2 linked regions of the Ovis aries genome follow. The protein of the gene in region 2 interacts with the protein of the main gene of each other region in a biochemical or structural test. Links are inferred from orthologs where the notes say so. Each region holds a gene or a part of one and is shown on either strand. Other genes may lie near its edges.

The links. The genes of interacting proteins can lie anywhere in the genome.
Region 1: the proteins of UBXN2B (region 2) and PPP1R11 form a complex in vitro, tested with the Homo sapiens proteins (2 studies listed by BioGRID). The link is inferred for Ovis aries from reciprocal best matches to the Homo sapiens genes UBXN2B and PPP1R11.

Annotation. Positions count from the first base shown.
Region 1 is NC_056073.1:27,940,740-27,948,493, forward strand, and holds PPP1R11 (E3 ubiquitin-protein ligase PPP1R11), read right to left. Parts: upstream 4,813-7,754; 5' UTR 4,603-4,812; coding exon 4,534-4,602; intron 4,506-4,533; exon of another isoform or gene 4,311-4,505; coding exon of another isoform or gene 4,299-4,310; intron 3,474-4,298; coding exon 3,365-3,473; intron 2,930-3,364; coding exon 2,727-2,929; 3' UTR 1,678-2,726; downstream 1-1,677. Other genes in the region: RNF39 (RING finger protein 39), read left to right, coding at 290-870. UniProt on the Homo sapiens protein: Atypical E3 ubiquitin-protein ligase which ubiquitinates TLR2 at 'Lys-754' leading to its degradation by the proteasome.
Region 2 is NC_056062.1:37,585,230-37,592,829, reverse strand, and holds the start of UBXN2B (UBX domain-containing protein 2B), read right to left. Parts: upstream 4,866-7,600; 5' UTR 4,843-4,865; coding exon 4,759-4,842; intron 1-4,758. UniProt on the Homo sapiens protein: Adapter protein required for Golgi and endoplasmic reticulum biogenesis. Involved in Golgi and endoplasmic reticulum maintenance during interphase and in their reassembly at the end of mitosis.

The DNA of each region.
Region 1 (7,754 bases), on a different chromosome or scaffold from region 2:
CTTCTGGCTCCCAAGAAGTCAGTCCAGGTTCACTCTCCCCAAGTCCACAACCCAGGCAACCCCTCCTTGAACCTCTGCGCTATGCCCCTGCCCTGGGCCGGCAGGGTCCTTCTCCAGGCCCAACTCTCCAGAAGGAAGTGGCCCATCAGCGCCACTCGCCCAGGCCTACTAGCGGGGACTCGCCCAGGCCTACTCTTCATTCGCGCGGTTGTGAGCCTCTTGCGTCCGACCCCGCCTCCGCCTGGGAAAGCCCTCTCACACGGTCTTCCTCGTGCCTTCCTCTCTCCAGCCGACCTGACCTTGGATCCTGGCACCGCACACCGCCGCCTGCTCGTCTCTGAGGACCGCCGTAGCGTCCGACTGGCCCCACCGGGGACACCGGCGCCCCCCGACTGCCCGGCGCGCTTCGATCAGCTTCCAGCGGTGCTGGGGGCGCAAGGCTTCGGGGCTGGCCGCCACTGCTGGGAGGTGGAGACCGCCGACACCGCCTCCCTCGGAGACTCTTCCGGAGACGATGAGGACGACGGGGAGAGCCTCTACGCCCTGGGCGCGGCCGGGGAGTCGGTGCGCCGCAAGGGCCGAGTAGGGCTGTGCCCCGCGGGCGCCGTGTGGGCCGTGGAGGGCCGCGGCGGCCGGCTGTGGGCCCTCACCGCCCCGGAGCCCACCCCTCTGGGCGGCGCCAGGCCCCCGCCGCGGCGCATCCGCGTGGACTTGGACTGGGAGCGGGGCCGCGTGGCCTTCTACGACGGCCGCTCCCTCGACTTGCTTTTCGCCTTCCAGGCGCCCGGTCCCCTCGGGGAGCGCGTCTTCCCGCTGCTGTGCACCCGGGACGCCCGCGCCCAGCTTCGCATCGTGCCCGCGGAAGGCTGAGAAGCTAGCCCACAATCCCCGTTCTGGCCTGGCCCAAATGAGCACGGACATCCGTACTCATTCCAGGGATCCTCCCCACGCCCACTGGGCAAATGTATTGAGAAGCACCCCGGACCTCCCTCCATATTCTCCAAATAGGACCTCAACTGGCCTTGTTTCCACATCCATGCCCAAAGCGGAGTTCTTGAACCTCCTTCCCTCCATCTCGGGATGCTCCTCCCCCTCGGTTATCTCAGTACTTCCCCCAGGGATCCCTCCCCTTCTATATTTCCCAGGCTTGGTTGGGGAACAGGTCCTGCCCCATCAGTACTGGTAAATGGCTCATTTTTAATACACAGAGGGCCAGCTGGTCAAATATTTACCTCCCACCCCTGCCCCTCCTCCTGGCAAAGAAGAGCACGGTGCCCTCTCCACAGCTCTGAGGTTTGGGCTTCCCTGCCTCCTCCACTCTAAGGTTTCTCTTCAAGACAAAGGAGACCTTCCTCCCCTAAAACAAGAGGCTTAACTCAGCCGGGGGCCTTAGGGCTCTCTTTTTTTTGGAGATACGGGGGCAGGACAGTTCTATTTCACCCTGACGACCTTCCATGCTTACAGCCATTTCCTGTTAAGAATCTTAACCAACAACCCGCTCCCCCACCAGCCCCACAGCCAGCTCCATATGAGCATGGTACATACTCATAACACGGAACCAATGGTGCTACCTCTCCTTTTCTCAACCTGGGAATGGCCCAGACACCCCAAATTTGCCCTTGTGTATATAGCCTCACTTTTTTCCCCATATGTATAAATGGGTCCATATTTAACACATTTTGTGATGTTGGGTTATTTATTTTGTGCATTTGTGGCAATAAATGAGATCTCAGTGGTGGTATGGATTTGACTGATCTCTGCAACCGTGCACAGCAAAAGGCCTGGAAAACGATATCCAGATCCCAATAAGGGGTGGGGAGGGCTGGGAGGGCTGGACGTCTGGGCTGGGAGAGACATCAAGGCCTTGGAAGGAAGGGGTGAGATTGCATCTCTTGGCTCCCTCCCTTTTCCATCCTCTCCCAGGGACCCAGGCCCCCGGGGCCGGGTTGGATCTGTCTCCTAAGTTGGAAGACCAAAGGCTGAGGAGATAGTGGGCTCTAAGTGACTAGTCTTGGAGCCAGTTTTGTCAGAAACCCTAGTCACATGAGAACAGTGAGGAGAGGACATGCCCATTTCTTTTTTCCATTTCTCATTAAAGGTGAAAATGACAAAGACCTCCCTCTCTCCTAACTCCTCTTAAGGGCTTGGGGGAAGTGGGCAGGAGAGGAGAGAAAGGGCTAGGAGCCCTGAGGTCTTACAAAAGACCTCACATCCCACAGGCAACGACTAACAGTTAGGATGACATAAATACATTAGTGGAAGAGCTCTAAAGCCAGGATTAACAAGCATAGCTGGAGCAAGATTGCCTGGAATCTGACTAGGACCCTGGCAGTGAAAGCTGGGGCTGCTGGAAACCCAATTTAGCTGTTTGGAACTCAAGTAGAGAGTGCAAGGGGCCAAGATAACTGGATCCCAGGACAGGCAGTTTGGCAGTGAGAACAAAGGAAAAAGATTGGGATCAAGATGCCTGGATCCCTGGAGAGAGGAGGCTGGGTATTGTAAGGAGAAATGAGGGCTGGGGGAACCCAGAAGCCTGGGTTCTGGAATAGCAGCAAGTCAGAATTCCAGGATCTCTGTCCACCTTCCTCTCCCTCTTCCCTCTGTCAGGCAGAGGAGAGGAGAGGAGGGGGCTGGAGAAGGGATCAAATCGTGGGTTTAGTCCCCGAGTAGCCACATGAGTACATTCAGGGCCAGACAGACACAGGAATGGTGGGGGAGCGAGGAATTTAGTGCTGCATTGGCCCTGGAGGGGGCTGGGAGGGGTCAGGAGGCTGGGGAGGGGTGGTGGGGCTTGGTCCCGGGGTTGCATGACGCCGTCCTTTGCGGTGGCCCCGCACACAGTGTGTATGACCACAGCCCTCCTCTTCCTCGTCATCACTCTCCGTGGAGCTCTCGCCAAAGGCCCGAGGTTTCTCATAAATACAGCAGCCTGGATTTGGATGGAGGAGCCCAGTGAAAAAGGAAGAAGAGTTCAGATGTAGCGTCAGTTCCATTCCCACTGGATCTCAGTCAAAACTCCTATTTCCTACTATCTTCTTCTACCTTCCAGATCCAGCTTTCCCAGGCCTACGCTCTGGGACTCTGTCACCCACCCACCTTGCCTTTCCAGGCAGGAATCCAAAGCTCCTCTTCTCCCACCTCAGATACCTCTTGACTTTAGGCCTTGGCACATCGAAATTCAAGCCCCTCCCTACCTCTTTCCCTCTAACTTTAACCTCCTCTCCTTGATACCAGAGAACCACCAAGGCAGCCACAGGACTGTGAGCATCTGGGGGCTTCGGGAAGGCCAGTGAATGCCAGAAGACAAAAGATATGCTGAGGGGAGCCAGGATTCCAGTGTTACTGTGGAGCAACAATTACTCACATTTTGATGAGCGGCGGCCCATGTGTTCATTGTCCACAGTGTCACTCGTCCATTCCACCTTTTTCTCTGGCTTCCGTTTCCGAAGTTTGATGGTTAGGCTCCGGTTCTCCTGGAAGGTTAAGAAGGATAGGCATACCTAGCTAGTCCCCTCCTACTAACTCTTCCCGTTTCCTCCCTGAGGCCTCCTTTCTTCCCTTCCCCAGTTCAATCAGGATCACAAACACAGCAACAGAGGAGCTGAGGCTGGGAGAAGATAAAACAGAACAGGTTTTTGACCTCAAGGAGTCCCTTGAGGAATTCTGTTCTTAGTAACCACTAGTATACAGAGAAGATACAATTCCTAACCTAGGGAAAGTCCCAGCAAATCTTCAAAGGAAAATATAATCCTTGCTGTTCCTCCGTCTTCTTCCCCAAATTATCCTTGGTGGTGTTAATACATGGAAATTATTTTCTCAATCACCAATCCCTAAACTTTGATCTCCCTTTCTTTTCCCAGAACGCCTGTTCTTTTTCCCATTAAAGAAATGACTATTCTCACATCTTTCATCCTCAAGCCCAGCCCTCCCAACCTGTTATCCACCTATTCTCCAGCATCCTGGCATCTCTAGTAACTATTACTCTAAACTCCCTTAATCAAAGGGTTATTAAGCCCGACAGGAACATCTCCCTTTGAAAGCAATGTTTTTGCAAAAATGTTGTTTTTCTCTACATGTCTAATTTTTCAAAATACTCCCATAATCTCCCTTTTCTTGTTCCCTCATTCCCTCTGCTTCCGTTTGCAATAATCCCTTCAAGAAATATTTATTGATAAGCATGCTTAGTGTCAAGTTTCTCTACAGCGAGTTTCCAACCATGCTTTCTCACACAACCCTTCATTTCCCCCAGCACATCCCTTGCTCATTAATCGCGAAGTTCCCGGTCTTTCAGTACTTACAGACACCACCATCCCAAGCAGTATCACCTACATCTTAACTCTATTGCATGTCACTTGACCAGCCTTCTGCACCAACTCTGACACACCAAAAAATCCCTAACACTCTGCGATTCCCCCACACCCACTTCCTCCCATATCCCTAGGCCCAGCCCATCCAGCAACTCTCCAAAGCTTTATCCCTTCCCTCCCGGTATCTCCCAGACCCCTGAACAGCACCGCCCCCAGCCTTTCTCACGGGCTCGGTTGTCACGGTAACCGTTGTCTCAGTGACGGTCTCACTCAGCCCGGCCCCTGCCTCCGCCATGGCTAAGGCTGAGAAGAGAGAGAAGCGGAGGAAAGGGGATGAGGCACCCTTCTGTCTTTTCTGTGTCTCTGAGGTCTAAGAGAATCGGTATCGATTCAGATTAGCAGCCAGGATCCTCCACCTTCTTTTTTCCCCCTCCTCCTGGGCCTCCGCTGCCCCACCCCTGGGGATAACCTGTCCAACCCCACTTCCGGCTCCCTACTTCCGGGTGTGACGCGTTCTGTGGTCCCCCTTTTCCCTTCCTGGCACTAAATGCGTCAAAGCGCCGGGTCGCCGGATTAGTTCCGCCGTAATGGGACAGTGCGCAGGCGCCGCAAGGAGGCGACACAACTTTGGCGGAAGAGGCGTCACTTTGGTACGGGAGCAGCAGGCGGGGCGAGCAATGACTGCATGGTCTTGCAACGCAGAGACTGAGCAGGAATCCGCGGTGGAGGTTAGAACTGGGCCTGTTCCTGAAGGCTGGGTACTGCACCCGGTTCAGACGTCCCGTAGCTGAGTCCATTCCATTGCGTGTGTGTGTGGGAGGGCGGAAAAAAATAAGGGGCAATAGTAATGATCCTACCACAGCCTAACTTCGTTTCCTTATTGTTTTGTCTGGGAATTAGGCAGTCGGGACCTGGGAGCAGCTGGAAACACACTTGATTAAGACTTTTAATCCTCCCTCTTGCCCATAGGGGTTGGAGCAGGGCGCTTAATACACCTTCAATATGGATTCTTTCCTGTCACTGGCGCATGAAACACTCAGAGTCTGCGTTTTAGCTCCAAGTCTACAACAACTAATGGGGAAGGCTGGAAAAAATACTAACAAAAATATAAGACATTAGAATATTAACATAGATGTAAGACTCATTTTACATCTATGAAATTAAAAGACGCTTACTCCTTGGAAGAAAAGTTATGACCAACATAGATAGTATGTTCAAAAGCAGAGACATTACTTTGCCTACTAAGGTCCGTCTAGTCAAGGCTATGGTTTTTCCTGTGGTCATGTATGGATGTGAGAGTTGGACTGTGAAGAAGGCTGAGCGCTGAAGAACTGATGCTTTTGAACTGTGATGTTGGAGAAGACTCTTGAGAGTCCCTTGGACTGCAAGGAGATCCAACCAGTCCATTCTGAAGGAGATCAGCCCTGGGATTTCTTTGGAAGGACTGATGCTAAAGCTGAAACTCCAGTACTTTGGCCACCTCATGGGAAGAGATGACTCATTGGAAAAGACTCTGATGCTGGGAGGGATTGGGGGCAGGAGGAGAAGGGGAAGACAGAGGATGAGATGGCTGGATGGCATCACTGACTCGATGGACGTGAGTCTGAGTGAGCTCCGGGAGATGGTGATGGACAGGGAGGCCTGGCATGCTGTGACTCATGGGGTTGCAACGAGTCGGACACGATTGAGCAACTGAACTCAACTGAAGACTCACCTGTGAAACTGAGTTTAGTCACATACTGCCTACACTTGCTCTGGGGTGGAGATGAGAAAGATTAAACACAGAAATGGTCATCAGTTCAGTTCAGTCACTCAGTTGAGTCCAGCTCTTTGCAGTCCCATGAATTGCAGCACACCAGGCTTCTCTGTCCATCACCAACTCCCAGAGCTTACTCAGACTCATGTCCATCGAGGTGGTGATACCATCCAACCATCTCATCCTCTGTCATCCCCTTCTCTTGCCTTCAATCTTTCCCAGCATCAGGGTCTTTTTAAATGAGTCAGTTCTTCTCATGAGGTGGCCAAAGCATTGGAGTTTCCGCTTCAGCATCAGTCCTTCCAATGAACATTCAGGACTGATTTCATTTAGGATGGACTGGTTGGATCTCCTTGCTGTCCAAGGGACTCTCAAGAGTCTTCTCCAACACCACAGTTCAAAAGCATCAATTCTTTGGCACTCAGCTTTCTTCACAGTCCAACTCTCACATCCATACATGACTAATGGAAAAGCCATAGCTTTGACTAAATGGACCTTTGTTGACAAAGTAATGTCTCTGCTTTTTAATAAGCTGTCGAGTTTGGTCATAACTTTTCTTCCAAGGAGCAAGCGTCTTTTAATTTCATGGGGCAGTCACTATCTGCAGTGATTTTGGAGCCCCCCAAAATAGTCTGTCACTGTTTACCTATCTATTTGCCATGAAGTGATGGGACCAGATGCCATGATCTTAGTTTTCTGAATGTTGAGTTTTAAGCCAACTTTTTCACTCTCCTCTTTCATTTTCATCGAGAAGCTCTTTAGTTCCTCTTCACTTTCTGCCATAAGGGTGGTGTCATCTGCATATCTGAGATTATTTATATTTCTGCTAGCAATCTTGATTCCAGCCTGTGCTTCATCCAGCCCAGTATTTCTCATGATGTACTCTGCATATAAGTTTTAAGCAGGGTGACAATATACAGCCTTGATATACTCCTTTCTCAATTTTGAACCATGTGTTGTTCCATGTCCAGTTCTAACTGTTGCTTCTTAACTTGCATACAGATTTCTCAGGAGGCAGGTCAGGTGGTCTGGTATTCCCATCTCTTTAAGAATTTTCCAGTTTGTTGTGATCCACACAGTCAAAGGCTTTGGCGTAGCCAATAAAGCAGATGTTTTTTTTCTGGAGCTCTATTGCTTTTTTGATGATCCAGTGGATGTTGGCTCCTTGATCTCTGGTTTCTCTGCCTTTTCTAAATCCAGCTTGAACATCTGGAAGATCATAAATTACAATATAAGCCAGTTTGTAAGATAAAAATAAGTATATGTTTCTCAAGGAGCAAAAGAGTGGTAAAGAACAGGCAAGCAGACGAATGAGTTTTTTAGGTAAAGAAAGCAGCGTATAAAGTACTTGTATGTACTGAAGAAAATGCATTCCTATATTTGCAGAGTACATTGTGAGAAACGCTGGGCTGGAAGAAGCACAAGCTGGAATCAAGTTTGCCAGGAGAAATATCAATAACCTCAGATATGCAGATGACACCACCCTTATGGCAGAAAGTGAAGAGGAACTAAAAAGCCTCTTGATGAAAGTGAAAGTGGAGAGTGAAAAAGTTGGCTTAAAGCTCAACATTCAGAAAACTAAGATCATGGCATCTGGTCCCATCATTTCATGGAAAATAGATGGGGAAACAGTGGAAACAGTGTCAGACTATTTTTTTGGGCTCCAAAATCACTGCAGATGGTGATTGCAG
Region 2 (7,600 bases):
TTTCCTATAGTTTTGTACCTTGTTTTTTGCTTGAAGAAGATCTGAACAAACCCTGTCGATCAAATAATCTTCTATAAAATAAATGAATAATGCAAACAATGCCTTCTGACTCCATGAAGTGTGGAACATATATTAATAAAATAGGAATATGGAGAAAATTACATCAGACCAGGGAGTCCAACGAGCTGAAAGGTCCTAGTTATTTTTGGCACATCATTAACTTAGAAGAAAATGAATGATATTTAAAGGGAATTAATGCAAGGATCCATGATGTCCCTATAGCATCATACGGCATAAATTCATTAGCTAATTAATATTATTTGACATAGCAAATGACACCATATCTGAAGAGAAAATAAACTGATGTACTGGTTAAAACCAATAGAAAATGACAGAAAAATCTCAGTCAAATAAAGAGATAAAAATATATGCATTGTGAAATAATTATGCACTGTTAATTATCAGGACAGATTTCCATGAGCTAAACAACTAAATTATGCAATATTTCAATCACACAGAGAGAATAAAGTATGTAAGCACAGGTAATTTTTTCTCTAGAGCTGGAAATGTGATGAATGTGTGAGAAGAACCTGAAACTGTGGATAAGAATATCAACAACACAGCAAAAGATTCAAAGTACTGGAACTCCCAGTCTTAGAGAGACAACTGCCAGAAGGTATAATGTTATTGTTTACTCGCTCAGTCCTGTTCTTTGTGACCTGGTGGACCTTAGCCTGCAAGGCTCCTCTGTCCATGGGATTTTCCAGGCAAGAATACTGCAGTGGGCTGCCATGCCCACCTCCAGGGGATCTTACCAACCCAGGGACTGAACCAGCATCTCCTATACAGGCGGGCAGATTCTTTACCCCTGAGTCACCTGGGAAGCCCAGAAGGTATAATACAGACTTAAATCTAGAAGAGCGACATCAGCATCACCTGGGGGCCTTTTAAAACTGCAGGTGCTCAAACCCTGCCCTGGACCAAAAGAATCAGAAACTCAGGGTGGGGCTCAGGAATCTGCTTGAGCAAACCGTTCAGGTGACTCTGATGCACGTCAAAACTGAGAACCAAGGATAAGGGACACTGACACCAAGAGGATGAAAGTCCCAGACAGTCTTACTCTTTTCTCACTGACGGAACTCTCTTCTCTGCCCCATCCAAAGCCTATTCCAAACCCTGGTAAGTACTTAAGTTAGCCCCAATTTTTCCCCAACTCCAACCTATATGGAAACAAAGAAATAAAAACAGAAATCTTTCTCTTTTGATATGTATCATTCTGGAGGAAATCTGGAACAGAGTGTACCTAATCTGTTAACTCCATGTGTGTGGATAGAGGGAAGGGCATGACAAGAGACAAAGGGCTCTGAGGACGTTCAGAACTACTAACGAACACTGAGGTCTTGGGGCTGAGTACTGTCACTTTGTCATTACTTTGCCAACAAAGATCTGAATAGTCAAAGCTATGGTTTTTCCAGTAGTCACGTATGAATGTGAGAGCTGGACCATAAAGAAGGCTGAGCGCCAAAGAACTGATGCTTTTGAACTGTGGTGCTGGAGAAGATTCTTGAGAGTCCCTTGGACTACAAGGAGATCAAGCCAGTTAATCCTAAAGGAAATCAACCCTGAATACTCATTGGAAGAACTGATGCTGAAGCTGAAATTCCAACACTTTGACCACCTGATGCAAAGAGCCAACTCATTGGAAAAGACCCTGATGCTGGGAAAGATGGAAGGCAGGAAGAGAAGGGGACAACAGAAGATGAGATGGTTGGATGGCACGACCAACTCGATGCACATGAGCTTGAGCAAGCTCCAGGAGTTGGTGAAGGACAGGGAAGCCTGGCGTGCTGTGGTCCATGGAGTCACAGAGTTGGACACAAATGAGTGATTCAACAACAAGTGCCACTTAAGAGCTTCCCAGGTGGTGCAGAGGAAAGGAACCCACCTACCAGTGCAGGAGATAGAAGAGACGCGAGTTAGATCCCTGGGTAGGGAAGATCCCCTGCAGTAGGAAATGGCAACCCACTCCCAGTATTCTTGCCTGGAGAATCCCATGGACAGAGAAGCCTGGCGGGCTGCAGTCTATGGGGTTACAAAGAGTTGAACACGACTGAGTACCTACACACTGTCACTAACACTCCTGTCCCAAACTTCCCCCTTTAATGTTTCCAATTCTGGAGGAGGAAGGGAGATAAAATCTACTCTTAATGTGGGACCCACAGGAAATTTCTGCTTTTAGAGTCAGAGGCTCACTGCGCTGGGAGGCTTTTGGGGGCCGACCATCCATCTTTCCTGGTGTGGTAAATGAGGAAATCTCTCCTAATTTAGAGGCTGACAAACCCTACACTGCACGGCAGCTGAGAAATAGGCACTAAGCAGTACTTCTGCTTGTTCCAATTAGTAACACACCACCTTTCTCTCCTCAATAATACTGTGAAAGACTCTTCGAGCAAGTTGTCAGGAAATTAAGAAGTATCTACTGAAAACTGAACTAACTGGGTAATGCTTAAAATAAGCACAGCTAGATTAAACAATAAAAAGATAATCCAAAAATATTCACTATCCAAGAAACCAGCTGGGGAGAACATTATCCAATTCTTTTAAACCTTTGATACACACTATTTCTTCATATGTCATTACTTTGGTTCTTTTGTTCTGGGGTTTCTTTGCATATTCTTCACATTCTTATTAAATTCTAAAATAAACATTATCAATACTTAATGTATTTGGAATGCCAAATCACATTCATAAAAAAAAATCAGTTATCTACCTACCGAAAAGTAGATAGGACACTGGAAAAAAAGAGTTTATTTTCTAATTGATGGTGGAAAGGAAGGCATTCTCAAAACTAGCGATATCTACAACATTTCCAACAATTAATCATATCAATCCAGTGGACTCAGTCTAAATTTGACAAGTATGAGGTGATCATTAACCAAGCTATTCTCATTTTTCACATAAGAAGAAATAGATTTAAATTAGACAAAGGATATTAGGTCACATAGTTTTAACTTAATAGCATTAGATGGACTAACCAGTGAAAGTTACAGTATTTTTCTCCTTTAAGGGAAAAAGAACCAAGTATTTAGTAAGCAAGTCTGAGCCAGGGTAATACTGGACTGAAGAGGCACTTTATAGACATTCCTTTATTTCATCCTTGACACCTGTGATCAACAATCCTGAGTTTATGAATAAAGACACAGGATCCGAGAGGTTAGGACATTTCTCCTACACTCAGGTAACTACTAAGCACCAAGGTCAAGAAGCAAGCTGAAGTTGTTCTGACCAGGAACACCATTTTCCCCCAAGGGCACATGCTGCGTCTTAGTGATGCTGGCCTTCAATAGACAAGATCAGGGAGATGAAACCTTCCTACTCCTGGATTCTGTTTACCACTACTAAATTGAGTCATAAATACTGCAAATGTTTTATCAATACACTGAGTTCGTTTCCTAAGCTGACACTGATTACTCCATTCTCCAAATTCATCACTGTATGCACTGCTTATCCTGGCACTCAATCATCCTCCATCTTTAAAGTGTTAGGTTAAATACATGTGTATCTTATTTAGGTAAACAATGGGTAGAAATGCCTTTCACGCTTCTAGGCCCTTCCACGGTGTTCCAGCACCAACTGTGGATTTGATGTACTATTTATCTCTGCATTCCCAGAGCTTAGTAGTATATTACAGGGCAGGTGGTCAACATACATTCGTTTAAAGAAGCAGAATGAAGGTGTGACAATAAAGAATTATAATAGACCTTTTCTACCAAGCCTTGTAGATGGAGTGACATTCATGTTTAATTATAGTCCCCATAGGCATCTGGGGTTTCCCAGGTGGCTCAGTGGTAAAAAAATCCACTTGCCAATGAAGGAGATGGTGGTTCGATCCCTGGGTTGGGAAGATCCCCTGGAGAAGGAAATGGCAATCCACTCCAGTATTCTTGCCTGGAGAATCCCATGGACAGAGGAGCCTGGCGGGCTACAGTCCATGGGGTCGCAAACCGCGACTGAGCACACAGAGATCTTTACTGTTTGAATTTTATCAATCATCTTACAAAGGGACAGTTAAAAAAAACACCCTGAAATGAGTAGCCTGAAGCACCTGGCAGAGCAAGACTCGGGGCGCTGGTATCGAGGCCATTAATGTCAATGTCCTGTAACATTACAAAGTTTTACATCCCCGTTTCTTAGATGCAATGTTTTCTACCCTATAGCAGTTACGACCAGGGTGCGAGCCGACCAGGGTGCGAGCCGTAGGATGAAATACCTTTTTAGTTCACTTTGAAAGGGAAAATCTCTGATTAAAAAGGAACCATTTTTACATTTAAATAAGCCAGAAACAGCATCCGAGAGAAACAAGACCAAACCGTTACATTTAAATAAGCCAGAAACAGCATCCGAGAGAAACAAGACCAAACCGGCTTCCCTGTGACTCGACTTCCCCACGGCCACCTCAGAGTTTCCTTCTGCAGAAGTCTGACCGGAGCGTCAACCAGTGAAGCATTCAACTGACCCTTCAAAGAAGCCATTCGGAATCAACAGATGCTTCTTAAACGGCAAGAGGGGTGGAGGGGAAACGCCGCCGGGACACCTGAGAGCGCGGGGCGCCGACACTCGTTTCTCCCGACGCCCCTGCCCGGCGTGCTGCCCGGGGGAGACCCACGGAGTCCGAGTTCGGTCCCCGGGCGGGTCTGAGGAAGCTCGACCGCGACCGGAACGGCCCCACACATTCCCCAGCCGCACCGCCCGCCGCACCTGCAAGTCCCGCGCGCTTGGGGGCCGCGGCCCCGCCGCCCTCGGCGCCTCCTCGCCCGCCTCTCCGCCGCCGCCCTCCGCCATCTTTCACCGCTCCCGGCGCCGCCGCCGACGCGCCTCCCGCGACTTCCGGGGCCGGTTGCCTGGCAACGGCGGGGCGGGGCGGTCCCTGTGAGCCCCCGCCTCCCCCGCCCCCCCGCGCGCCCCTCTTCCGGCACCCGCCCACCTGTCCGGTACTGCTCCTTTCCTTAAAGGAAGTTGGCTCAGAGTTTTCCCTTCTGAGAAGGGCAGCACGGACTTGCGGATTTCTTTACCCAGTGGTGGCAATGACTTCTGGAGAGTTCATCTGATGGAAAGTGCCACCTTACTTTTCCAATCTCGGTCATATTCTCTCGTTTCCCTGCCAAGGATTGGGTGGCGCGTCGTCCCCAAAGCGTGAAGTGTTGTTGAGAAAGAACCCCGTAAACTCTCTTTGCGATTGAGCTGCTGCTGCTGCTGCTAAGTCGCGTCAGTCGTGTCCGACTCTGTGCGACCCCATAGACCGCAGCCAACCAGGCTCCCCCGTCCCTGGGATTCTCCGGGCAAGAACACGAGTGGGTTGCCATTTCCTTCTCCAGTGCATGAAAGTGAAAAGTGAAACTCAAGTCACTCAGTCTTGTCCGACTCTTCGCGACCCCATGGACTGCAGCCCACCAGGCTCCTCCGCCCATGGGATTTTCCAGGCAAGAGTACTGGAAGGGGGTGCCATTGCCTTCTCCGGCGATTACAGCTAGAGACTCCTAAATTCTCTTTATTCATCTGTTATTTGTTCAAACTCCTGTCTTATCACAGGTTTTTTCTATGACCCCAGACACAAAAGTGAAAAGGAAGTAGTCCTGGTCATTATAAACCTCACAGTCTAGCGGAGGAAAAGAGATATAAACAGAGTAAATGCCATTTGCAGTGAAACTTTGCAGGAAATGTTAGGAGTGGAATATGGGTGTGAAGCGAAATATTCTGTTCGCACCTGCTGCGTACACCGTGCTGGGTGCGTTCTTTGTGTTCTCTTGTCTACTGCTCTAGGTGAGTATTGTTATTCCGTGTTATACCCGAGGAAAACTGATGACAAGTAACCACTAAATTCACCCTGTTGTGAATGGTGGTAGCGGATAAGCCTTGCATTTGTTGGTTATCCCAATGTTCTTTTTAGTACAATATTTGTTGTTCAGCCGCTCTGTCGTGTCGCACTCTGCAACCCCACGGACTGCAGTATGCCAGGCTTCCCTGTCCTTGACTGTCTCCAGGAGTTTGCTCAAACTCATGTCCGTTGAGTCGGTGATGCCATCCAACCATCTCGTCCAACATCTTGTCCAATAAGTACAACCGTCTTTTTCAATTAGTACAACATTCTGCCCTAGAAATCCCTGGATCTTCCTTATATCCCATAAAGCCAATGGCATTTTGCCCCAGTCTTGAAGGATAAGTGCTCCTGATAAACTTTGAACCTAAAAGGACCACAGGGAAAGACATGGGTTTGAAATACCATGTTCATGCTGGTAAAATACCACATGGCTGAACCTTAGGAGAAATGATAAAAGATGGTTGGGGTTGGAGCATGTGATTGCCATCTAGTCTGGAGATGCAGGACAGGTGCTGAGGGGTCTCGCCTTAGTGAAAAGATCAAATATTATGCACTGGGCCAATGATTCTCAAGGCTCATGCACAGAGAATTCCCCTCCCATTCGCAATGCAGGAACTCAGATTTAGTTAGTATGGGAGCCCAGTCAGGCATATTTTTTAAGATGCTCCCCATGTGGACTTTGTCTCTGGCCATGACAGTGTTCCTGATACTGGATTTGCCTTCCCCTCCCAACAATGAAAACACTAGACAAAATAAATGAAACGATTATTTTCAGACACCGAACTACAGGCAGTACAGATCTGTGCTGTGCCAGAGAAGGGAAACAAGCGAGATGAGCTATGTTTGTCCTGGCTTTCTGCCTGGAACTCTCCTACAATGCTGGTGAAATGGAGAATGGTGCAGCTACTTTGGAAAATAGTTTCTTCTAAAGTTAAGTATTCACTTATCTTAAGACCCAGCATTGACCCTCCCAAGTATTGACCCAAGAGGAATGAAAACATATGTTGATGAAAATATTTGTATCTAAATATTCATAGAAGCTTTACTCATAATAGCTCCAAACTGGAAACTATCCAAATGTCCATCAACAAATGAACGAATAACATTTTGAGAAATTTCATAGCACAGACTACTACTCAACAGTAAAAAGGAAGAAATTACTGATTCACACACCATAACTGAATCTCAAAGCCATGATCTTGAGTAAAAGAAGTCAGATGCAAAAAAGTAAATATTGTCTAGTTCAATGTGTATGAGATTCTAGAGCAGGGAAAACTTATCTTTACTGATGGAAAGCTGGCAGTAAATTGCTTGGGGCCAACTCTTTGGGAAATGATAAACTTGGGGAATTTGACCGACAAAGGATATGTGGGAACTATTTGTGGTGATGAAAATGTTTTATATCTTTATTGGTAGTGATAGTTACATACATGTGTGTGTATTTGTCAAAAACATATTGAACTATATACTTAAAATGAGTGTAATTTATTATATGTAAATCATACATTTATACAATTGGTTGAACCCCACACCCCAGATGATTCTGTTGCACAGCCATGGTTAAGAACCACTGGTCTTAGGCAATTGGGAGCCATTAAGTGATTTGTGATTTAAAAAGATAACAGATGCCTCAGTGTGCAAGATGAGTAAGAATCACAAAATTAGCATGTTATTACAAGAGTGAGGGATGAGCAAGATTAAAGAACATTATTTTTTTGGCTA